4 linked regions of the Drosophila melanogaster genome follow. Changing the gene in region 1 together with any one later gene gives a genetic interaction. Each region holds a gene or a part of one and is shown in the gene's direction. Other genes may lie near its edges. The genes, in order: spi, Sox21a, csw and rho.

Region 1 (4,646 bases):
TCTTAGAATCCTTTTCCATTGAACGGGATCGCAGATGCGGCTTATTCTTAACGCAACTGAGTGGAGTTCGCTTTTGTGCGGACAGGGGGGTACTGTTTGTCTTGGGCGTAATGGATCCTCCGGTCACCGGGGACCCCTCCTCTTGGTCAACATAGATCTTTGGCTTGTTGGCTCTGGCGGGCTTGCGCGGTGGCACACGACGCTTGTGACCCAAACGCACTCGCTCCAAATGTTTGTTCGACGGCACTTCTGGTAGCTGCTCCTCGCCAGCGACAAAGGAGGCCATGCTGCTGCCAGTGCTGAGATTCAGGGTCAGTGTTTCCAGGATGTGCTCCAGCATCTGGGCCTCGCGTGCCTCCTCCTCCTCGTCGTCGCAGAAGATGATGGGTGTGCGATCGACGCCCAGGCTGGGCGATCGGGGATCACCATGGGGCTGCTGTTCTGGCGGGGGCGTGGCCATTTTCACCTGGCCCTGCTCCAGATTCGGCTCCTGATACGGCAGCAGCTGTTGCTCGCAAGGCAAGGTTTCTTCCTGATCATAGGGCAGTGAAACAATCTCCAGGGAAATATTGTTGTGTGCAGCAGACGGCGGTGTGCCGAAGCTATCGCAGCTCTCCTCTAAATCCACTTGGGGCGGTGATGCAGGCACTGCTCTCTGTGCTGTACCCACCCTGGTGTCCACGAAGAGATCGGCGAATGTGTCATCCATATTAAGCGAACGAACCTCATCGAGGACCAGTGGAGTGCGATTCAGCTGAGGAGAGCGAGGATCGTTCAGGGAGAAGCCCTTGAGCAAACGTTTTCGCAGCATGGAGAAGGCATTTTCACTGGTGGTCACATGCTGCTCCTCCTCCTCAACGCGAGGTTTTGACGCCTGCAAGAACTACAACGCAGCCATCATTACTAGGGTTAGTAATATCAAAAAATACCTAATGCCTATAAACTCACGGTTAAAGGCGTGCGGCAGCCATTTGGTGATCGAGGATCGAGCAAAGCGTTGTTTTGCTCTCGATTCGGCGTCGTCATTTCCATTTGTTCTCGCTTTTCGCTGGCCAGGCGCATTTTGTTTAGTGTCGGCGTATCCGGCAGATATTCACCTTCCATTTTTGTTGCCTTTGCTCCCATTTTAATCAAATAATCTGACTTATTTTGCGACTTCTCACTAAATGTTGCGGGGTAAAATAAAATCGTTGCCGCGCATTTGTTTTGAAATGGCGTCGTGTGGAGTTGCCGGATCAGGAAATGCCAACTGGTAACAGTATTGTTAACGTCAGTCTAGCTATTTTCAAGCCAATTCTAGCAGTGATTACAAATGGATTTTATCACTAGTTCTTTCATTATTACTAATAACTAACTAATCGTTACAAATATAAATAGAAATTAAACAACGTTTGGGATATTTAGAACTTAAGTCTGTAATGTTTAGGTGGATTCTTCTTGTTTTACTCCTCTCAAATAAATTTATGAATTGATTTTTATTTATAGTACATAAGAAAATGTAAAATTCAGTAAACAAATAAACTAATATTAAAGTTATCAGATATTTTTTTTAATTTCGCTTTACAGCACTGATTTTTATGCTGCCTCGCGATAGTGTCATCTCCCTCCAGCTAAAGTCTGGCAACACTTGTTCATTTAAGACGCGACACAACGAATTGTACTCTTTCAGTTTTTCAAAAAGAAAATGGCATGAAAACAGGCCAAAAAAGTGCGACAAACGAAGAGCTAAATCCCAAAGTAAGTGGTAAAGTAAGTGATAAACATCCAAATGAAAGCAACCCAAATGCATACATAAATGCGCGAGTGTGTGTGCTAAATTATAACAGTAGTGACTGTGTACCTTCACGGAAAAAGGGAAATGAAGACAGGAAACTGGGTTTTTTTACTCCAGATGACTATTTTTATTGAATTTACGCAGTTGCTGTACTAAATAGGCGAGTGTTTTTGTGTATGTGTGTGTGGGCGCCGCAAGCAGCAGTAAATTCTCCTGTGTGTATATGTGTTTTTTTTTTCTATGGCCGTCTCCTTTTTACACACACTAGCGCACAATACAGCTGCGCCTTGTTTTTTGCCGACATTTTTTCTGCTTAGTTTTATTTATTTTATTTCAATTAGGCAGACAAATTATTTTGCTCGCTTTGTGGAGCCATCAATGTGGGTTAGTAAGCTAAAGTGCTGCGTAAAATTGCGCTATTGTTTTATTTGCCAATTGTAGCGCAAAAAGTAAGCAAATTGTATACACACAAACGCCAGAGCGCATGTCGTGCAGACTTTCTCTCTTGCTCCAAATTGCGAGTGTATGCATCTGCGTTCGTGTGCGTGTGAGTACTGAAAACAACCGAATTTCATTCATTGCTCATTTCCGAGAAAAACTACACGCTACACTCGTCGCCATCTGCAATTGCACCTCTGTGTGCGTAAGTCACTGTATCACAAGTACATTATATGAACTATGTATATAGGAGCCGCTGCAGTTGTGCAACATGTTAATTGATTCCAGGGGCTGCTGGGCGTGGCAGGTGCAAAAGCCCCTTCCACCTGGCTTCTATTTACAGAAACTTCTTCCCACTTCCAGAGTTCAACATTCTTGCTCTTCCCGTCGCTTGACCGCGTTTTTCAAACATTCCACGAGCGGTCTTAGCACACTCACACCGGCACGCTATGTGTGTATACATACGTATGTACGTATATTGATTTCAATCAACTTTGAAGCGCGCTCTGGCCTTCTCCTTCGCTCATTCGGCGGTGTGCTATGCTCTGCCTGTCTCTCTCGTGCTCATCTGTCAATTGAGCACCACGTCCGTTTGTCGGCTCATCAGCAATTTACACAGACACACACTTCACCGCGCTGCATCCGTGTGGGTAAATTCCATTTCCTGTTTATAATATTGCGGCGTCTTGTCTGTCTGTCTGTCTGGCGTACAGCGGAGACGCAAACCAGCGTCCCTTTCGCCTTTCGTTCCGCTCATCTCGCTGCACAATGGATCGATCCTAAATAAGCATCTTTTAAAAAGTATTCAAAGTTTGTAAATCGTAACGCATAGCAAATATATTGTTATCGTCATAGTTTGTCATGGTTATAGTTTTGTTAGCTTATTTTTGTTATTCTAAACATTTTAAATTAATACTACATCTTTTTGCAAATCGGATATCCGTCTACTTTCGCTCTTATCCCACGTACATATCTCCCACTTACGATCATCCGCGAGTTTCGGTTCCGTAGCACGTTACCTTACGCATCGCAACCACTGTGCCGTTGGCATTGGAACGCTGACCGCTTTGCGGCTGGGAACGATGGGGAATCGGAACATCCGAATGCGACGCGCTCCGCTCTTATTCGAATTCCCAGCCTGATCCGGCTGTCACTGCTCTTGTTGTTGCGGCAGCGGTGAGTTGAGTAGTACAGTACGTGCCACTTCCTTTACATTCAGAAAAATAAAAATTGCTCACACACACTCATGCATGTATACGCCTAAAGCATACATAAACAGACGTTCCGGACAGACAGACAAACATTGAGTGGAGCGTTGGGAGGGGAGCGGTTGCTTGGCGTCTGCGCCGTGTGTTGTTGCTTTTATGCTGCCCCTACTTATTGTTCTTGTACAGTTGCAAAGCCACTCACATGCGTGTGTGTGTGTGTGTGTGGAGCCAAAACAGTGAAAACGAGTTTGATGTCTGGCTAGATATGGCAACTCTGTCGGCGAGTGCACATCCCCCCAACCCCAAGCCCCAAGCACCCGCTTATTAGAAGAGAAATACCGCAGAGCGTTGTTGTTGATTTTACGTAAGAAGGCCGTCGAACTCAGCATAGAAAATGGTGAGCGAAAGAAAGAGCGGCCGCGAGATAGATGAAATATGGGGGCCCACGACCAGAACCACAGCCAGAGAGAGTGTGCATGCAAATAGGTGCGAGTGTGTGCGTCTAATGATTACCGTTACTATTTGCATGTTGTCTAGTCAGACGTCTCGCGACCCAGACTGTGCGACCCACCAGGCAATTGGCGAAAAATTCTTCGTCGTGACCTTTCATCGTCATCGTTTCAACCGGACATCCAAGCTATATGCATATGTATGTATGTATGTGTGCGTGACAGTAATGTTGTTTATTGATTTTATTAGCATTGCCTTCGAATTGGCTTTCCGAATGAGCATACAAATATATACGACAATGACGGTAATGGCGGTAAAAACGTTAGCAAATTGCAAGAATGCACTGAAAAAAATTCATACAGTGGGGCAATTAAAAGTACATTAATGTCTCTAGGGCTCTAGGAACTCTGCTGGTTCGTAACATTTAGATTGCAGATATGAACTAACTAATATCGGCCAAATTACGCGAAAGAAAACCAATTACAAAGCGGTCTGGAGGAATCCTTCGCAAAGCATTGCTAGTGCTGTGACTGCAGCTGTACACTTGCCACTCAGTTGCGTGCATTTCTGCATTTCTGCCGGCTGTGGTTCAACGTCCTAAGCCGCACACAACAAGTGCAACAATTGTAACATCAACAAAGCAACAGAACACCGCAAAAGGGGCAGAAAAGCGGTGTGGCAAAGAAGCACAACTTGATGGGGGAATCGGATTGGGAATGGGAATGCACAAATGCAGAAGCGAAGCGACGAAGATGGCAAACGGAATGAGGGCAGGT
Region 2 (6,729 bases), on another chromosome or scaffold:
TAAAATTAAAAAAAAAATTTAAAATAAAAAGCACTGCGACGATTCATTTATCTTTAAAATGTTGTTTTTGTTACTTTCTAGGTCAAATTAATTTGAAGATTTAGTATATACTGTGGAAATGTTGCTAATAGTCCCAATAATCGTTAAATATTATTGCAAAAGCATATTTAATTAAAATTAATTGTGATCGGGAAATTATTGTTCCGGATGTACTATACCTAGCATATTACACACTTTTCTATTGACATTACACTGTAAACACCGGGAAAATTGTCTAATTTCTTAGTATTCGTCAAGGGAGAAGCTCCGTTGGCGGAACATTGAAACCGTCAATTATAAAGAGCGGCATTTATAAGAAATTTTAGCAAATGTATAAAGGTGGTACTATTAAGGGATCAAGGGCTTCTAATCGTTGCAATTATACAGAAATCGTTATTGGTACAGCAACAACAAGAATTGAGAATTTCCTGTGTGTGACAAACAAGGAGAGCAATTGAAATAAGCGGCCCAACCCTGCCAACAAAAAGGGCCAATCTTGCGGATACCGAAGCTTGCAGCAAACATACCAAATAAGCCACCGATCGATTGTGAGAGCAAACACCGGTCTAATACACAGTAAGAAATTATAGTGCCATAACCATATAGTGTAGACCATGCATATAAGTAAGTATCCAATATTTGGTTAATTGTAGTATAAGATTCAAAAGCTAAAGTGTATTTTTCATTCGATTGATTGTTGCCACTCCGTTTTGTATTCCATTTAAATAAACTAATCAAGGCATTTTTTTGACATCTTAAAAATGGGTTCTCATTCCATAGTTAAGAAGAGCTATAAAGTAGTTTAACTATGCCTTTTATTTGGATCACAAATGCATAGAAGAAAAACAGAACTGAATAATAAAGTGTTTTATAAACGTACCAATTTATGATTTAATATTTTGTAAATAAATATAGCAGCGAAATTCTCAGAACTAGCCGGAATTTTCTTGAATTTTTCAAAGAAAACTATTTATATTTACAATAAAAATTGATATTGGTAGCTTAATATGAAATATGTTATTGGGCTATTCAAATTTTCAAAATTATTTTTGTGTTACGGTTTTGATAAAAAATGCAGATATCATCAACTGGCGAAGAGCAAAAGGAGCAATGTTTGGTAAACAAGAATGCAAACGTGCACACAAAACGAAAACAAACCCGGAGACTATTGTCAATAAGATACAAAACGCAGATACAAAGATACAAAGCAGCAGCAGCGAATTTTTATCACTTAGCCGCCACGTTGACGCGTCCTCCGAAGGTGTAAAAAACTCTACAAAATGTGCGCGCTCTCTCTCTCTCTCTCTCTCTCTTACTTGCGCGACCCTTCTCCCTTGCACTATCTCTCGCCTTGTCTCGCTCCCACTCGGTCCTTTTGGGCGGCAGCGACGCAGCAGCGACCAACCACTACAGAGACACCCTCATACTTACAAACACCCACGTTCTTCCTCTTGCCCCTTTTTGTTGCGTTTGTTTGCCGTTTTTGTCGCAAGTTTTCGAATGTGTTTTCAAATCTAAATTGTCGCGCACTCGAAACGGACGCGCTGCGCTCGGCTAACGGTGAATCGGCAGTCTAACGGTTTAAATACTTTCAACGTTCGTAAATTCGAGGCTCTATAAATCTCGAACTGTTTGGAAAATAAGTTAAAAATTCATATCAGTGCACTTGTGTATTTTTAGGAGTTCTAATGGCGATCAACAATAATTAACCTAGTAATATTAATAAACAAAAAGAACTCGATCGCAACGTAAACTCTTGTGCAATTAATTAGATAGTTAAGTGTCACGCATCGGATGGAATCCAAATTTAAACTTTATTAGGGAGAAATTAAAAGACAATTAATACAGGTAAGCTAATTATGATGATGAGAAAAGGTCCCTAGGTAAACAATTCGAATATTTAAATATGAAATGAAGAAAAAGCTGTGCTCTAAATTAAACTATTGCACACTCCTCCCCAAAAACTAAACACTTTAAAAAAGCGAAATAAGCGAACAAATATATTTTCTTAAAAAAGAAACCAAAAGATTTATAAGGATATGAAATATATAATGAATTTTATGAATATTTGCAATTTTCAATGTTAGAAAAGCCTGTTTTAAAAAATATATCATTTTCCAATCCAATCTTTAATTAATTCATCATTTGAAATCGAATTTGGCAGTACTGTTAATATGCAAATATACGTTCTTCAAGGAATATATTTTGGATAATATTAATTTAAGGGAAATCCCCAATTTTGCAAATACTCAATACTGAAAACTGATTTGAATTACTGGTAAATATTTAAATTGGTTTGTCATAAAACCGGGACACCATTTTGAGCCCCCTGTACACACACATTAGAAGGGGTAAATGGAGTTCCATTGTGCATATTTTTGGTAAGCTATTCGCAGTGCGAAGAGCTCCAATCAAATGACTCATGCAGGGAGCAGCAGACAGAGTCCCCAAGCTAACAAGGCATATCTATTGAATACCATTTCCGTTGGCATTTCAGAGCTCGAGGAGCAGCTGCAGCACTACCACCTGATAATTACCACCTGCACCCCCATTGGAGTCCCTTGACTCCGCGCCCGGCATCATGACGAGCATCTCGGCCCTGCTCCATCGGAGCCACAGCCACAGCAATGGTTACACGAGCAGCGGGAGTAGCAATCACAGCCATAGCAGCAGTCTCTCACCGCAGTTGCCCGGCATCAATTTGGGTTTGGGCATGGTCGGTGGCTTGGGCATGGGTATGAGTGTGGGAGTAGGCTCTGGATCGGGAAACACCACCCCACCACCGATGCCGCCAGCTGACCTCGCCGTTCCGCCAGCGGCCCCCACTCCGGTGGCACCCAAAATGCACCAGCACACGCACCACCATGGCAACTCCCACCATAATGCCCCGACCAGCCACTCGAATTCGAATACTGGAAGCCATCACAACAGCCACGACCACATTAAGCGACCAATGAACGCTTTCATGGTCTGGTCGCGGGGGCAGCGTCGCAAAATGGCCCAGGACAATCCAAAAATGCACAATTCTGAAATATCAAAACGCCTGGGCGCCGAGTGGAAATTACTCACCGAAGGACAGAAGCGTCCATTCATCGACGAGGCAAAACGATTGCGGTAAGTATTGTTCACTGGGGTCTGGTTAAAAAGCACTGAGAAAATATGTATGTACTAAATTTGTAAACAGAAATAAGAGTATTTTCTTACCTGGAAAAGTCCTTACCTTTCAATTCAAAAGTTAATTTTCCAAGTCTATTATTAATAGGGTTTATTAGGGCGAAGTTATATTTAAAAAAAATAAAAAGATATGGATCCCATTGATGTTAAAAATCACAGATTATCATATTGCAGTAATCCTATATTAATTTAAACTAGGAAAAACATAGTTCTTGTATTTTTTGTAGTTACCTCCGCTTTCTATTCTTGGATATAAGAATTACTTTGTTTATTCAATTTTATTCAGTCCACACGATATACATTTTTTTTCTGTGCCGGCTTATGCAGGAGCAGAGTGGTGTAGGTTGGATGGGAAATTCTGGCTTGGTTTCGGTTACCATTTTCCCAGTTGGTAGCTCATTCTCACTAGATGCCGTCTGGCCACAAAATTTGATCGATTAGCTAAGACAAAGGCTACCTATTGTGAGGAGCTCCTGCTGAATTGCGGAGCTCTGGAGTCGGGGATTGTGTCCGCTCTGCTTAGTCAGAATTTCATTGGCACTGCCATATCTTGGGTAAACATTTCAATTGAAGTTGTCACACAAAAGCGAGGCAACACGTCGCATGAAATGCTCCATTCATTTTGCATTTTGCTTCTTTTTGTGTGCTTAACCCATTCAGTGTACCCTTTCGAAAGGGTTTGAGTAATTTCAGTTTGAGCTTAGTTTTAATAAACGTAATTATCGGGATTAACTGAAAATACCGCTAGAATGGAGTTCTTTGTACAAGAAATATACTCAAAAGCGAGCATTTTACAAATAAGTACAAAAGTGATATCTCACATTATTTTATTTTTTATAAAACTAGCTTTTAAATAAGTTGTATTGGTATAAATGGAATCAAAATTTGCAGTGCACTTTTAAACCACAGGAATTCCCAGAAATGCCGTATCTCACAAGTTCGTTTTTTCTATGCCTTCCTAGATAGTGCGGTCTTTTATGATGACGAACCTCTGTGTTTGCACTGTCATAATCCTTTTATTGATTGGATTGGCCTGCCAAAATGGAAATGTTAAATTTTACTTACATTTTATGACATTTATAAATGATCAGGGCTCGTCAGAAGGGGCTTAAACTAATGGCCATTCGGGGTTTTCGAGCGAGCATATCGAATGAAAAGAACCAAAAATTCTGATCAAATATTTGCCAATGCGCGATGATAAGGAAAACAATATTTTTTTTCGGGACCCGCGATAAGGAGGCCATAACTGACCAAAGAAAGGAAAACAAAATAAAGAAAAGCGAAAGTAAAACAAGAGGAGGCGACCCAAACACACCTTTTATCAGGTTTTATCGTTATGTCAAACAAATGTCAACAATTGCGCATTGTTGCAGCTGGGAAATCGGAAAGAGAATCGAAGTTGGAATCGGAGTGCTGGTTCTTCGCTAAATACACAATATAAACTTGTGCATTTTGTATCTGCCTGGCGTGGGGTTTATGGAAGGGTTCCGCTTCTCTTGGGGTTTACGACCAGAGATGGCTGACTTTATGATATCATCAAAGCTTAAATCGTTCGATCTTTTGATCAGTGTTTCAACATTTATTTAATTTACAGGGCTCTGCACATGAAAGAACATCCCGACTACAAGTATCGACCACGTCGCAAGCCCAAGACGCTCAACAAGTCACCGGTGCCAGGTGGTGGTGGTGGCGGCGGTGGAGGTGGTGCCAACGGTGGTGTCAACGCTGGTGGTGCGGGTAACTCCGGTCCCAGTGGCCCAGGATCAGTTGGCTCCCCCAAGGATATGCAGCCCCAGTTGTCGCCCTTGGGTCAGTCGCTGCCACATCTCCACGGACATCCGCACCAGTCACCATATCAATCGCATCCACACCACCCGCATCCTCATCCACATCATGTCCAGCTGGCCGCCGCCACCTTGAGCGCCAAGTACGGTTTTGGTTCGCCACTGGAGTTATCGCTGCCCCGCCTGCCGAATGCCTTTCCCGGCCTCGCCCACTATCCACTGGATCCCACGTTGGCCCTGGACCTACAGGCGCGCCTCCAGGCGATGTACGCCGGCTCCATCTACCACCCGTGGCGATATCTGCCGCTGATAAGTCCGGAAACTCCACCCTCCCCGCCCAGCAGCAGCGGTACCGGCATCTCATCCTACGGATGCGTCAAGTCAGAGAAGTCCTCACCAAATGCGGTAGTGGCCAGCGCGGCCAGTCCGCCAAACATCATTTGACCGACTCCATTGCGCTTCGGCGCCGGCACCTCCTCATCCGCGGAACACGTGGTCTAGGATGAGCACCACAGAGGGAATTTGGATGGTAAACTTTACCATTCCTCTCCAAAAGTTAAAAGTCCTAATGTTAGAGCCTAGTGTTAGACGAATATTAATGCACGTCTTTAGTTGCTACTATAATTATGTTTTTGGTTCTGATTTAGTGCTGCTTCACTATTTTAGATGATTAATTTTAAAACTACATTCAAAATCTCAATTTACTGACATTTTTTGACAAATAATGAAGTTAAGTCCGGCCTCGAAAAGCAATAGACATTTTAAATCAAAGAAATTTTAAAAAATCTTAGCTAAGAAATAACACTTAGTAGTCTCTTATAATTTATATATATATATTTTATATATATTTTTTGACATTTTATTAAAATTCACAACATCATTTGAATTCGTACATATTACTTAAACTGCACTTAATATTTTTATTGATATGTTGTTATATGAATAACTCAATTCTTTCGATAAATCTTTGAATTAATCAGCTTTGAATCAGCTTAAAACACATTTTAAATGGTTTTATTCATACCTAATTTAAGGATTTCACAATCTTTGTTATCAATTTCTGGAACCCAAACAAATGGCTTATTAGATCTAAAGTACATTAGATTTGTTAAGGCATCGAGAACATGTCCACTTTTATGTAATATATGATTGTAAAACTATACTTTAATGTGATAAATGAAAGAGCAGAAATCGAATTAAAAATAGTGTGAAATTCCACGATTTTTAAACAGTGTACTTGAATAAAGCATGGCATTGGGATTTATGGCAAAATTGTAACAATAGTTTTAGGATTGAAGAACCCTATAGAGACCTGGTTTGCATGTGAGTGAAAATCATAGCTTGCAATCTGTAAGGAGTCACCGCCAAACGCCACAGGCTTCTGTGAATATAACGACAATGTTTGCTGATGCGTTGATTATTAGTTTAAATTGCCGACACGCCGCGGGGATGAATGGATGACGATGGCCAGGATTGTCTGCCGTTTCGGAAGGGTGGCGATCGTCCTTAATGGGATTCCTTCACGCCCACTTGTTTAAGCGGCCAACTGTGAAGCGCTCACCGTCGAGGCGTGTCAATAACTCTCGGCCCAAAAACAATTGGCACTTTTTTGTCTGAGGCACTGCACAAAACAAAGCAGCAACCACCACTATTATTGGACTTTTCTCTGGGTGGGTTGGGTGGAATATAGACAGCTTGGCGGTACAGGGCAATCGCGACAGCATCGTAACCA
Region 3 (4,742 bases), on another chromosome or scaffold:
TAGCTGTGTGCCTAGCATACTAACCATCCCCCGCCTCCGACTGAACAATAAATTATGTTTATTTCTGGCCCACTCCCCATCGCACCTACGAATGGTTTTGGCTGTGCCCAAATGCGGTCTGGGTCTCCAGCAACGAAATCGGGATAGCCAAGGTCGCGGAGCTCAGGAATGGAGCACTGGGGATACTGGGACTGGGCTGTCGCTCTGGCAACTGGTACCGATCAAGTTTATTTCTGGGTAGGGCGGCACTCACGGCACTCACTACTTCGCCGGAACTTTTAGTAATTCCATACGTAATGTAAACACGTTGGGTAGGCTATTGGTCAATGCCACTTCTAAATTGCGTTACCCGATCATTTCTAAGAACTTAAACTTGCGAATGGCCAATGTTGGCCTCGCTCTTAATTCTGTATCGATAGCAATCAGGTAGCTCAAATCATCTCTACTCACTTTTAATGCACTTCTCGTCTTGCATTTGCCATTGCAATGACTAATATTCTTAACCGACACCTAACTGCGCCCAGAAGCCCCATGTGGTTTCCACGGATCTGGTCCACCTGGCCTGGAACATCCTGTTTGCATTGATGCATGCATGCATAGCTACATGGGGTTTCCCCGACTGGTTTGAGCTGAGCATTTTCAATTTTGATCGAACACTTCGGAGACAATTTCCATTGAGTGGATTTTGAATGTGGTTTGGGTAACAAGTTCTAGTTGGTTTCCAGCGAAAAAACAATGACGAAATGTTGGAAAAAAAAAAAATAGTTCGTCATCGTTGGGAGGCATGAATACGAGGCTGGAAGTAAAGTGTTGCTAGATCGCAGTTCGCAGGCTGTCGCACGTCGAACGATTTTGTTTTGCTGGCCAAAAAAAAAAAAAAGATATTCTGCGCACGTTCGCACCTCTGACGTCTGCGCCTGCGCTGTAAGAGAGCTTTGGCACTGCTCGCTTCTAGCTCCCACTTACCCAACTACCAACCTGCCCACCTGCCCACCAACCCACCTGCCCCCCAGCAAACCCAGTTCCTTGCCTAGATGGCCGCCACAGTAGTTGCTGTGCGGCTTCAGTTTCATTTCCGGTGGCAGGCAACGGACGGCGCTAAAAGCGCTTTTTGTATTTGCTTTCTTACAAGCCAACAACACACTCATATCACGAAATGACCATTTTCGGATTGGAATTAATCTTATGTGCCTGCTTTTCGAAATGTGTATGATTCGGATTCTGATTGCGATGAACTCCATGACTCATCCAGGAGTACAGTCATTACGAAATAAACATAGAGTGGAGCCCGCTATACATATTTATAGGTATTAGCCTGGCTCTAGCACTTAATTGAAAGTAAATGAAAAGTAAAAGTGTAATTTTTTACAATGTTGATTGCAATTCAAAGTGCTTTCGCTTTCTGAATAAACCGTAAGTGGCGTCCACAGGATGGCTACAATTAAGTGGCGCCCGCTGAGGGGCCCAAGCAGTTTGATGATACTGAAACAGGAGCCCAGGGGAAAGCTGTGCACACACCCACTGCCAATCAATTTCAAAGTTACGTCTTTCGCTCCGTTTTATTTACTGTGTTTTTTTTTGTATTTGTTTGTGACTTCTGGCTCGCTGACAGTAAATAAAGCCCATAAATAAAAACACCCACCCACGAGATCGACAGGAAGGGCTAACCAGAGCGCCGGCTGGATTTAAAAACAAAAAGCGCCGTCCGCAGCCAGTCAAGATTCAGATTCATTCATACCCCAGCGCTTAGAACACCACCAGGCCACAGCTCCCGTCCGAGAGATATAGCCACTAAGAGAGAGCGGAAGAATCGAATCGCAAAGAGAGGAGCCGCGCTGAGACAACGTCAAGAATCCGATTTCGATTCCGATTGCGATTTCGAATCCGAGGCAAAAAGCTTCAGACTCGGCAGCAGGCGCTTCATTCTCGAGTTGTGATCCAACGGGTTAGCAGCTCAGCTCGCAAGCAGTCGCCGTTCGTCGTCGAGCGGCAAGCAGTTCGTTTCATTTCTACTGGGCGCCAGTACAAGTTCCATCGAGTGTTTTTGTTATTCGAAGGCAAAGCGCGAAAATTATGCCTTCAGCCACATTTGTCCTGGAGCATTTGATGGCGGCACAATCGCGACTCGACGAGCAGGCCGCATCCCCAGCAGAGGTCAAACCCACCAGCACCATCAACAGCAGCAGCACCACCGTGGCCAAGGCCATCAATGTCAAGTCGTACGAAAAGAAGCTGTTGCTGGCTCTCAAGAAGATTGTGCAATAATAAACGAATGCGGGGTAAACAGCACTCTATTTGACAAACTGTAGACATTTCCCCTAATCGAGCTGACTAAGATCAATAAAAAGCAAACAGAGAAGCACAACAAACAGCGGCAAAAAACAAAAACCAAGAATTCTAGTTTTTGTGCTTTCAGTGTGTGTTCGTGTGTGTGGGCAAGTTGTTACATAAAACAAAAACAATAACAAAATAAAAAAAAAATAATAAAAAAACACCCCAGCCGAGACGCATTTTTCCGCAGTGGAATACTACTATCTAAGCTTCTTTTTGTTTTGGTGTGTGCGAGAAAACGAGTGTGAAGAAAATGCTGTTCAACAAATGTCTGGAAAAGTTGTCCAGCTCGCTGGGCAATGTGGTCAATCACAAGCTGCAAGAGAAACAAGTCTACAACAACAACAATATCAACAATAACAATAACAATACGCTAAACAACAACAATGCCTACAACAATCAGCGAAACTTTGAGTACGAAAGAGCCATACAGGCGCACTACGGAAGCAAGGGAAGACGCTCGGAGGAGCGCGAAAGGAGCGGCAAGTTCAAGGCCAGCAAGGGTCGGAAAGCAAAGGTCACCCCACCAACGGAGACACCCGAGGCCCAGGAGCCGGCCTGCAAGAACTGTATGACCCACGACGAGCTGGCCCAGATCATAAAGGGCGTGGCCAAGGGCGCTGACGCGCAACGTAATCGAGACAACCGACTGCAGCGCAGACGTCGTCCTCTCTCCGCCCAACCCTCCGCCGCTGCCTCCGCCTCCACATCGACGGAATCTCTGCACCGTCTTACACCCAGCCCGCAGGCTTCCTACCCGGCCACGCCCACCTCCTGGACAGCCACACCGCCCCAGTTCCCAGCCGCCTTCGGCGGCGCCAGCTGCTCCAACAGCACACTGTCCCTCTTGGCCACCATGCGCGTCCAGCTCCATGGTTACACGTAAGTTCAGGTCGCCCAAAAAAAACGACAGCAGTCCAGTCCAGAGTGTTAGAAAAAGAGCAGCGTTCTGCTAATTTGGGGCGCGTGCGAAATTAGGCACTAATTGTTATTGGAGTGCGAGTAATGAAGTTGTCAGGCTGCCAACTAAACGATACCCCGTAGCAGGTGAAATGGTATTTTGAGCTACCATCGCATCGTAGTATGTCGCCCCGCCTGTCAGTCACATGTCGCGGAGTAGCAGATGATTCGCGGGAAATCTGGAGACAATCTGCTGCCCATCAACATTAACCCTAATAAGGCAGGCAATCACAGGCAGTTGACGCCGCAACAAAGCAAAAAAAAAAAAAAATCAGCGCAGCACATACTGTCATGTGTTCAGAATTGCCACGCAAAATGAGTAAATATTTACGCAAAGCATTCGACTCGAAAACAAGCAATCGTAAATTGACGTTCTAATATGAATGAATTTCCGACTGTCAAATGCCGAAGTGAAGTGAAGGGAGTGGAATGGCAAATGGCAGGGGGCCCAGCTCAGATCGCCACTCAAATATGGTCACATATCAACATATCAACCCCCCCCACACAATTGGCCCGTTGTCAAGTTGTGTTTCGATATTGGTTCTTTCATTTAGAGCTGAAGATTGAGTTATTGGTTAGGCACTGGCTAAATTACGCACTTGTAGAACCGGGAGAGTTCGGCGAATTGCCCACTGCAGACATCGTATCTTGGCCCACTGCCAGATCGGAATTATCTCTTCACTCGCGCCCGGAATGTTTACCCATGTCCCGCTGTTGCGCTGTCCGTCGTCCACATTCCCCAAAGATTCCATCCCACTCCGTGTCTGATCTTGGTGTTTATCTGCCCGGCTGTGCCATGTGCCGTCCGATTGTTTGTGTGGGCTGGCCCCATCTTGGCGATCTCGATTCGCACAGTACACCCAGAAAACAATCGCATATGTATCTGCTGGACTATTATTATGTCCCATAAATTATCTTTGACTTTTAGTTGAGCTCGGATTGGTAGTGCAGTCGGTTTCGGTTGTTGCTTATTTATTTATTTTGATTTTTATCGCAACGGATTCATAATCGCTGAACGTGTTGATTGGCTCGTTAACTTGATCTTTGTTTTTCTAATTTATGCTCAGCTTTTATAGGTATCCTGCTTTAGGGCGATCTTTTCGTCGTTATCCTAAAACGCACATCATGCCAAATGATCTGAAGATGATGTGCCAATAGCTTTGACAGCTTAAGCTGCGTGATTTCCGGATTTCACTTGTCACACTCACTAGGTCAACAATGGGGCACCGCCGTCCTCTGCCCTCCGCCTTGTAGAACTATTAACCTTCCGATGGTTTTTCTTCTCGCCATAAGGCTGATTAACGATTTATGAAATTACATTTCCCGTAATGGATTTCGAGCGCTGCCTTCTGTTTTGCATATTTCCGTTTATTTGTCCGTTGCACAACCGTGAGCTGTGGCTACTGATCAAATAAAAGCGTTTAATTTGTGCAAATTCATAACGTCGGCCG
Region 4 (7,591 bases), on another chromosome or scaffold:
CATCGCGAAACATTTGGCGCAACTTGCGGAAGACAAGTGCGGCTGCAACAAAAAGTCGCGAAACGAAACTCTGGGAAGCGGAAAAAGGACACCTTGCTGTGCGGCGGGAAGCGCAAGTGGCGGGCGGAATTTCCTGATTCGCGATGCCATGAGGCACTCGCATATGTTGAGCACATGTTTTGGGGGAAATTCCCGGGCGACGGGCCAGGAATCAACGTCCTGTCCTGCGTGGGAAAAGCCCACGTCCTACCCACGCCCACTCGGTTACCTGAATTCGAGCTCGAGTGTTTTGGGTGGCTGAGATTGCTTTGGTACGGTGGCTGACCTTGCCAGTGCCAGTGGGTCCATGTCCGTGGAGTGCTGGCAATGCGTGTCTGGCACAATGAAAACGCAGCAATGGAGGATGGAGGAACTCGACCTGAGGGAACGTGGGAAAAAAGGATTTACGATGAAGATGAGCTGAGAAACTCCGAGCTGATGACGTGCCTGGTCATGGGCATGTAGTGCAGCAACTGTGTTTTCGTATCTGCTTACCTGTTGCACGCACATGTTAAAAAGTCATCATAAATCTCAGTGGACGAGGACGAGGACTCTGAATCTGTTTCGCCTCTCTTTTGCGCCCAGTGAAAATATTTTCACTTTTCATGCGGGAGTTTTCATGCCGCCGATGAGGATGACTGGCCAGGATGGGTATATCTATCTATTAGATCTGTGTAAATTCCCAGCTTATCATGCAAAACACGTAACCACGTCGTCTCGATCCTTTCGGCCAGGAAGCCGAAAGCTACTCCTTTTGTGCAACATGCCGTGGTGACCTTTCCCGCGAACTCGTGACTGCAACGGCTCAGGCTGCCTAATAATTTGTATAAATATTTATTTTTGCTACCGATTTCTATCTGCTCGCTCAACGCCTCCGAGGGAGCTCTCGCTGGAAAAGGTGTGAAATTCGAAACCCCTGACAATGATGATCTTCTACGGGGAATCGGGGAATCAAGGGGAATCAGGACGGGGCTCGGTTTCGAATTCGATTCCATGACATGTTCTGCATTGCTGAGCCGATATACTTTATTTGCATTTTTGGCCACTTGCAGTGGCACGTTCCCTTAAAAACAACAGAATTATAGAAGCAATGTTTTAGCTATTGAACGGTTACGTATCAATAGAGGAATTTTAAAACTATTTCTAAGCAAGCAAATAGTTTTGCTAGTTTTTTTAGTTTAGAAACTAATTTACATTACCATTGTGAGCAATTGTGACATTGAAGTTATTTCTGGAAACTATTCGAAAGTGCGGAGCTAAAGAAAAAGCGACTGCTACTACCGATTTCATCATCTTTAATTGTGTTAACAATTTGTTTGACTTTCTTGTCTTTGTTTAAAGGCATCGACGGGAAACTCAGCAAAACAATGGACTTGGTACCTTTACAAATACAACTAAAATGAGCTTAAACCTCTTCTAGTACGTTAATATATATTACTAGTAATAATATAAAATGAGATAAAAGTCGGTTTTGCTGAAAGGCAATTAAACGCAAAGGCCTTGCTAGAATTTCGCAACATTGCAGAGATTAGAGCTCAGATCTGCGTAGTAGGCCATGACAAAGCGCAGATCGCTGGAGATCGGCGAGAAGACAGAAGACAGAAGACGACGCATTTGTTAGTCAGTGGCATTGGCAAGAAGTGCTGGCCCGTCTGGATGAGTCATTCACCGTTATGTGGCAAGGCGGCAGATGGGGGAAACCAGTGAATAACCAGCGACGAAAAACCTTCGAACCGCTCGCCTCGAGCTGCAGCAGTCGAGTGACTGCAGTGCGCACACCCCACCCACCCACACAAGACAAGATCCGGATGTGCCATGCAACACTTATACGGCCGAACCAAAACACAACATGTTCGAAGTGGCTCTCTTATACTGCACCGCACAGCGAGCACTTATAAAGGCCGGCTGCCTTGCCTTTCGAAAGTCAGTTGCGTGCGAGCCGCGAGCGCGAGATCATCAAACTGAGAAAGTCGGACTGCGACTCGAAACTGAAATTGAAACTGAAAGAAAGAAATATTCAAATTGTCGTGTGTGTGGGTGCAAGCAGAGAATATATATCTCAAGAATATCTGAATACAAGCTCCTGGATTTACGAGCAGCAAAACTAAGTTACCAATGTGCGAGCCGAAAAAAGCGAGTGAAAAACGTGCGAATATGCCAGCTAACTAAAGACATTTGGATTACAAGAAACCCACGCATTTTGGATTATAAACATTGCGACAGGCAGAAAAACCTAAGGTAAGCCCCCGACCCTAATGAGAAAATGCGCGAGAGCTAAAAGATACAAGATACAAAATATGAGTTGCGAGATACAAGCTACAAGCCACAAGGGATATGCAAGAAATGTGCAAATTGCAATAGAAATTGTCACAGCGGCAAAACAAAAGCATTTCAACTTAGAGGCGTAATGAGTTTGTTCAACCTGTGTGCCCGCTCGCTCTATCTCTCTCGCTCGCACCCTTTGCCCGTTTTTTTTTTTAGGGGTGCGAGTGCAGCAGAAAGCATAAAAAATGCAAATTACACCGCGGGCCATGTGAAACTATGTTTCTGACCAAACAGACAAAAAAAAAAAATGAGAAGAAAGAAATGATGAAAAGAAGGCCGAATGAATTAATTCATTATGTCTTAAAGCCCGCTTTCGACATCTCTTCTTCATGCTCGCATGGACATTCGGTGCAGTCTGCAATTAAAGTTAATAAATAAATTAATTAATAAGCGGCCGACTGCGATTTCGTGCCTTATTGAAATTGCTAGGCAACCGAAATGAAGAACATGAAAAGAGCGCCAGCCAAGGCACGGCACCCACTCACTTTTTCGAGCAGTGTAGGTAGCAGACACAAAAGCAACAACGGTGCGTGTGTGCAATGCGACTTGAGGCGAAAGAGAGAGAGGGGGCATATGCGAACACAATGAGTGTGAGTGGGAGAAACGCGTTTTTTTAAGTTTATTTTTTTTTTTTTTGTTGAGCAAGGCAATGAATTTGTTATTTTTTTTCCTTGTTGCGACGAACAGTTGTTTGGGGAATTTAAGAAGATTTGTGCTGTGACTGTAATTGAATCGAATGCGATTAACATAATTTGTGAGGAAATGTCTCTGGGCAATGAATTACAATAATGCCTGGCCATTAGCTGATTAGTTGGCCATTAGCGAAGATGATTTCAGGGCTGAAAGTGCAGTTTATGTAACGGCGTAGATGCTACACAAGCTACATCTTCAATTTTGTCCAGCTAATTTCGGGCCACAAAAGCAAACTTGGCCCATCAAATTTTATGGTTAGCTCACACAAGCTGACCCAGTTTTCCCTTCGGGGAAAAGCAGCCAGGAAGTTGCAGGCATCGGAATCCGTGTCCCAGGCCATAAACAAAATTCTTACCCACAAAGAAGCAGGCTTTTCCTTCGCTTTTCTTTTATTTCTGCTGCATTTCCCCACACACTCTGGTTTTTCTGAAGTGTTGTAATTGCTCTTGTTTTGTGCTGCGTTTTATGAATAACTTATGCACTTAATTGATTTTTGTTTATTGTTCGGTTCAAGTTAATTAATTACACACTTTATGCGCTCCTCTCTTTCTCCAGAATTTCTTCAACGGCGCCAGCATGGAGAACTTAACGCAGAATGTAAACGAAACCAAGGTGGATTTGGGCCAGGAGAAGGAGAAGGAGGCGTCGCAGGAGGAGGAGCATGCCACCGCCGCCAAGGAGACCATCATTGACATTCCCGCCGCGTGCTCCAGTTCCTCCAACTCCTCGTCGTACGACACCGATTGCAGCACGGCGAGCAGCACCTGCTGCACCCGCCAAGGCGAGCACATCTACATGCAACGCGAGGCCATCCCGGCCACGCCACTTCCGGAGTCGGAGGATATCGGCCTGCTGAAGTACGTCCACCGCCAGCACTGGCCCTGGTTCATCCTAGTGATCTCCATCATTGAGGTAAGCACACACACAGCGAACTCAGTAACTCAACCCATTAAATCAAAGAAGCCGCAAACTTTCATCCCAAGAGCGATAAAAATGATATAGGGGGCGGAAAGCGGCGACGAAGGGCGGAAGTTTTCCGAGAGTTTTCCTCGCTTTTCGTGTTTCGTTTTCTGCGTCTGACTCGCTGGCGCCCCCGAAAATCGATTGTAAACAAGTTGAACAACAAAACAGCCGAAGGAAAAAAAGCGAACAGAAAAGTTTATGAAACCAGACCGTTCGTAGTTTTTTCTTTTTTTTATTTTTTAAGGGCAGACCAAAAATTGTCATGTGAAAAACAGTGGAAGATGAGAAGATGGAAATGATAGTTAGTTTGATAGCGAAATTGGTAACTTGGAACATTGAGTTTAAAATAAACAATACACTTTTACATGACCCCTTACATTCGTATTGGAAATAATTTGCTTCGTATAGAAACTAGCACGAATATCAAATAAACAGGGCGGCCCACGGGGCGTATGAGTTTAGTGAGTTTGAAGCCCTGCCAAGTTGGCAGGACTCGCCCCTAAGCATTCTCATAAGACTTTATTTGGAACGTGGTCGCGTGCCAGACAGCAACAACATAAATCAGAGCGAGAGCCCAGAACTAACCCCCAATTCTTTGCGTCTCTGTCCATTTTAGATTGCCATCTTCGCCTACGACCGCTACACAATGCCCGCCCAGAATTTCGGGCTACCCGTTCCGATTCCGTCGGATTCGGTGCTGGTCTATCGGCCGGACCGGCGTCTGCAGGTGTGGCGCTTCTTTAGCTACATGTTCCTGCACGCCAACTGGTTCCACCTGGGCTTCAATATCGTCATCCAGCTGTTTTTTGGCATTCCCCTGGAGGTGATGCACGGCACGGCCAGGATCGGCGTGATCTACATGGCGGGCGTTTTTGCCGGATCCCTGGGCACCAGTGTCGTCGACTCGGAGGTCTTCCTGGTGGGCGCCAGCGGTGGCGTCTATGCCCTGTTGGCCGCACATCTGGCCAACATTACACTGAACTATGCGCACATGAAGAGCGCATCCACGCAACTCGGATCCGTTGTCATCTTTGGTGAGTTTCCCCACACCTTATGACTAGAATCTATAGAACCTAATCTATCCTACCTAAACACGAATTTGTCACATCTTTTTCTTCTATGTTTAACTTAACTAACTTGAATCCCTTCTGTTCTTCCATTTGCAGTCTCCTGCGATCTGGGCTATGCTCTCTACACCCAATACTTCGATGGAAGCGCCTTCGCCAAGGGTCCCCAGGTGTCGTACATTGCCCACCTGACGGGAGCCCTGGCAGGACTAACGATCGGCTTTCTGGTGCTAAAGAACTTCGGTCACCGAGAGTACGAGCAGCTCATCTGGTGGCTAGCGTTGGGCGTCTACTGTGCCTTCACCGTCTTCGCCATCGTTTTCAACCTGATCAACACGGTGACCGCTCAGCTGATGGAGGAGCAGGGTGAGGTGATTACCCAGCATCTGTTGCACGACCTGGGAGTGTCCTAAGTTTGAGGTTCGGAGTCGTCAGCATGCTCGCAGGGATTCGGAATCTGCTTGAGCTTCAGGAGAGATCGAGAGACAGAGAGTTGGTGGAAAAGAAAAGTTCACTCAACGATTTAGTTCAAAACTAATTCGATATTCGTTTGGCTTTTGCTTTTCGTTAGCATTATCTCGTTATCGTTACCGTTTGCAGTTAAACGTTTCAGTTCCGAAACATAGTACACAAACTCAAAAAAAAAAAAAACAAATCAAGAGAAATACACTGGACAAAAAGAAAGTGCGAGGAGTGAGGAGAACATAAACCGAAGCCGAAACGTGTAAACAAATGTTGTGATAGAACCAAAGACTGAATTTATTTCGCGTGTAAAAACCAAGTAAAAATCAAGAGGAAAATCAAAGAGGAGAAACAGAACTAATCGCCTCTCGCTATGATTTAAATGATTTATCCATGTTTTCAATTAATGGTTTGTCTGTTTTCTTAAATTATGTATTTATTGGCCGCAATTACTACGAATGAATCGAATCGAAGCATCAGCAAACTGTATCAAATTGTTTATACATCCATAAGCATAATGTGCTCCGAATTGTAGGATTTAGTGTTATAATTTATATATATTTAGGTATAACTAGCCCTCCTAACAAATTGTTTCAAATTGTAAATACTATTAAGTCGCACACTAGTCAAACAACAACAACAGCAACAGCAAAAACAACAAAAAAAATATGGAAAACCACAGCAAAGAACCATTCAATTCAGATCAATTAAGCAAATCGAGTTAAATTAAATTAAATTATACTAAAGTCACTTAATGCGTTACAAAATCGAGCATCGTAATCCCCTACACACACACACACACACACACACTCGAAAGTATTACTAATTATATTTATTTATGGTAGGGCAGCGAGGGTTTATTAATTCGTCAATTGAGCGAACTATTTATTTATTTATTTATTTAATAATTTAGTGAAATTCACACAAACAAGCACGAAAAAACAACAACAACACAAGAGAGAGAAGAAACAAACCAATTCAACTGTAAAAATATCCAATTGAAAAATACACACGAAAAGCCAAAGAAAATAAAAAATCAAAACATTTCAAGAATACAACAGTAATAACAAAATACAAGCAAAAGCGTTTTCATTTCCCATTTTGTATTTTTATTTTACTTTCAGTTTTTGGCTGTCGGCTCGCTTGGTTTTAATTCCCACAATTTAAGGGCAATAAATAATCGAGCCAGCAGATTATCAAGATACTTGACATATTGACCGATACACATATATATATACATATATATATATATATATCGTACGCAAATAGAGAAATATTCAAAGTAATCGCCGAATGAAAACAGCTAATCTGGCATAAAGGCCAGCAAAGCGTAAGCCAAAATAGAATCCTTTTGGGCCACAAAACCCCAAGATAGCATACTCGATTTTCCAAAATAATGGATCCACACTCCACCCGATGAAAAAAAAAAAACAAAACAAAAAAATAAAATAAAACAAACTAGGAAACGGAAATGTTCAGCACGAGACAAGGGACAGAAGAAATGCAAATAGCAAAAAATTATAGATAAATAAATAAGGAGAGAAAAATTGAACAAAAATAAATGTCTAAATTATATATGAATTTCTCGTTTTCTTCACAAATAACTCAGGGCGAGTTGAGCTTGTGTATGTATGTATCCTCTGCTGGATGAGTTTTTTGGGGGGCAGCCCAATCAATATTTGCTCCACATAAATATGGCAATTCAAAGCGAAAGGTTGCAACTACAACTAAGACTCGAAGAAAATCCTTAATTAATACCCACTCCGCAGAAGACTTGTGTCAACGAATTTTCCCACTCGAATGTTGCCACTGCCACCAATCGATAGTTGCCCCAATATGAAATATGAAGGCGCAGCATACGCATTTTGTAATAATTCATATTGTCTGTGATTCCACATCTCATGCGAGTATTATATTCAATCCAACTGGATTAGCAGGACTAAGTCCATGAATTTCCAAATCGGCATTCAACTCGAAGGACTTGAAGCGAACCAAAAACATTTGCCAGCTGTTTGCGTTTAGTCGACTAATGCATACCTATT

What was found.
Region 2: of spi (region 1) and Sox21a, changing one suppresses a phenotype caused by changing the other (phenotypic suppression), as found in Drosophila melanogaster (2 studies listed by BioGRID).
Region 3: of spi (region 1) and csw, changing one suppresses a phenotype caused by changing the other (phenotypic suppression), as found in Drosophila melanogaster (2 studies listed by BioGRID).
Region 4: of spi (region 1) and rho, changing one suppresses a phenotype caused by changing the other (phenotypic suppression), as found in Drosophila melanogaster (3 studies listed by BioGRID).

What each region holds. Positions count from the first base shown.
Region 1 is NT_033779.5:19,574,277-19,578,922, reverse strand, and holds the start of spi (spitz), read left to right. Parts: upstream 1-1,607; 5' UTR 1,608-1,737; intron 1,738-3,335; exon of another isoform or gene 3,336-3,388; intron 3,389-4,646. Other genes in the region: msb1l, read right to left, coding at 1-883, 949-1,125. UniProt on the Drosophila melanogaster protein: Ligand for the EGF receptor (Gurken). Involved in a number of unrelated developmental choices, for example, dorsal-ventral axis formation, glial migration, sensory organ determination, and muscle development. It is required for photoreceptor determination.
Region 2 is NT_037436.4:14,102,966-14,109,694, reverse strand, and holds Sox21a (Sox21a), read left to right. Parts: upstream 1-1,576; 5' UTR 1,577-1,887; intron 1,888-2,536; 5' UTR 2,537-2,620; coding exon 2,621-3,153; intron 3,154-4,807; coding exon 4,808-5,441; coding exon of another isoform or gene 5,442-5,498; 3' UTR 5,499-6,214; downstream 6,215-6,729.
Region 3 is NC_004354.4:2,100,563-2,105,304, forward strand, and holds the start of csw (corkscrew), read left to right. Parts: upstream 1-1,726; 5' UTR 1,727-2,584; coding exon 2,585-3,213; intron 3,214-4,742. UniProt on the Drosophila melanogaster protein: Required in all receptor tyrosine kinase signaling pathways. Functions downstream of the receptor tyrosine kinase torso, acting in concert with D-Raf via tailless.
Region 4 is NT_037436.4:1,461,854-1,469,444, forward strand, and holds rho (rhomboid), read left to right. Parts: upstream 1-1,957; 5' UTR 1,958-2,277; intron 2,278-3,612; 5' UTR 3,613-3,633; coding exon 3,634-3,969; intron 3,970-4,636; coding exon 4,637-5,054; intron 5,055-5,186; coding exon 5,187-5,500; 3' UTR 5,501-7,091; downstream 7,092-7,591.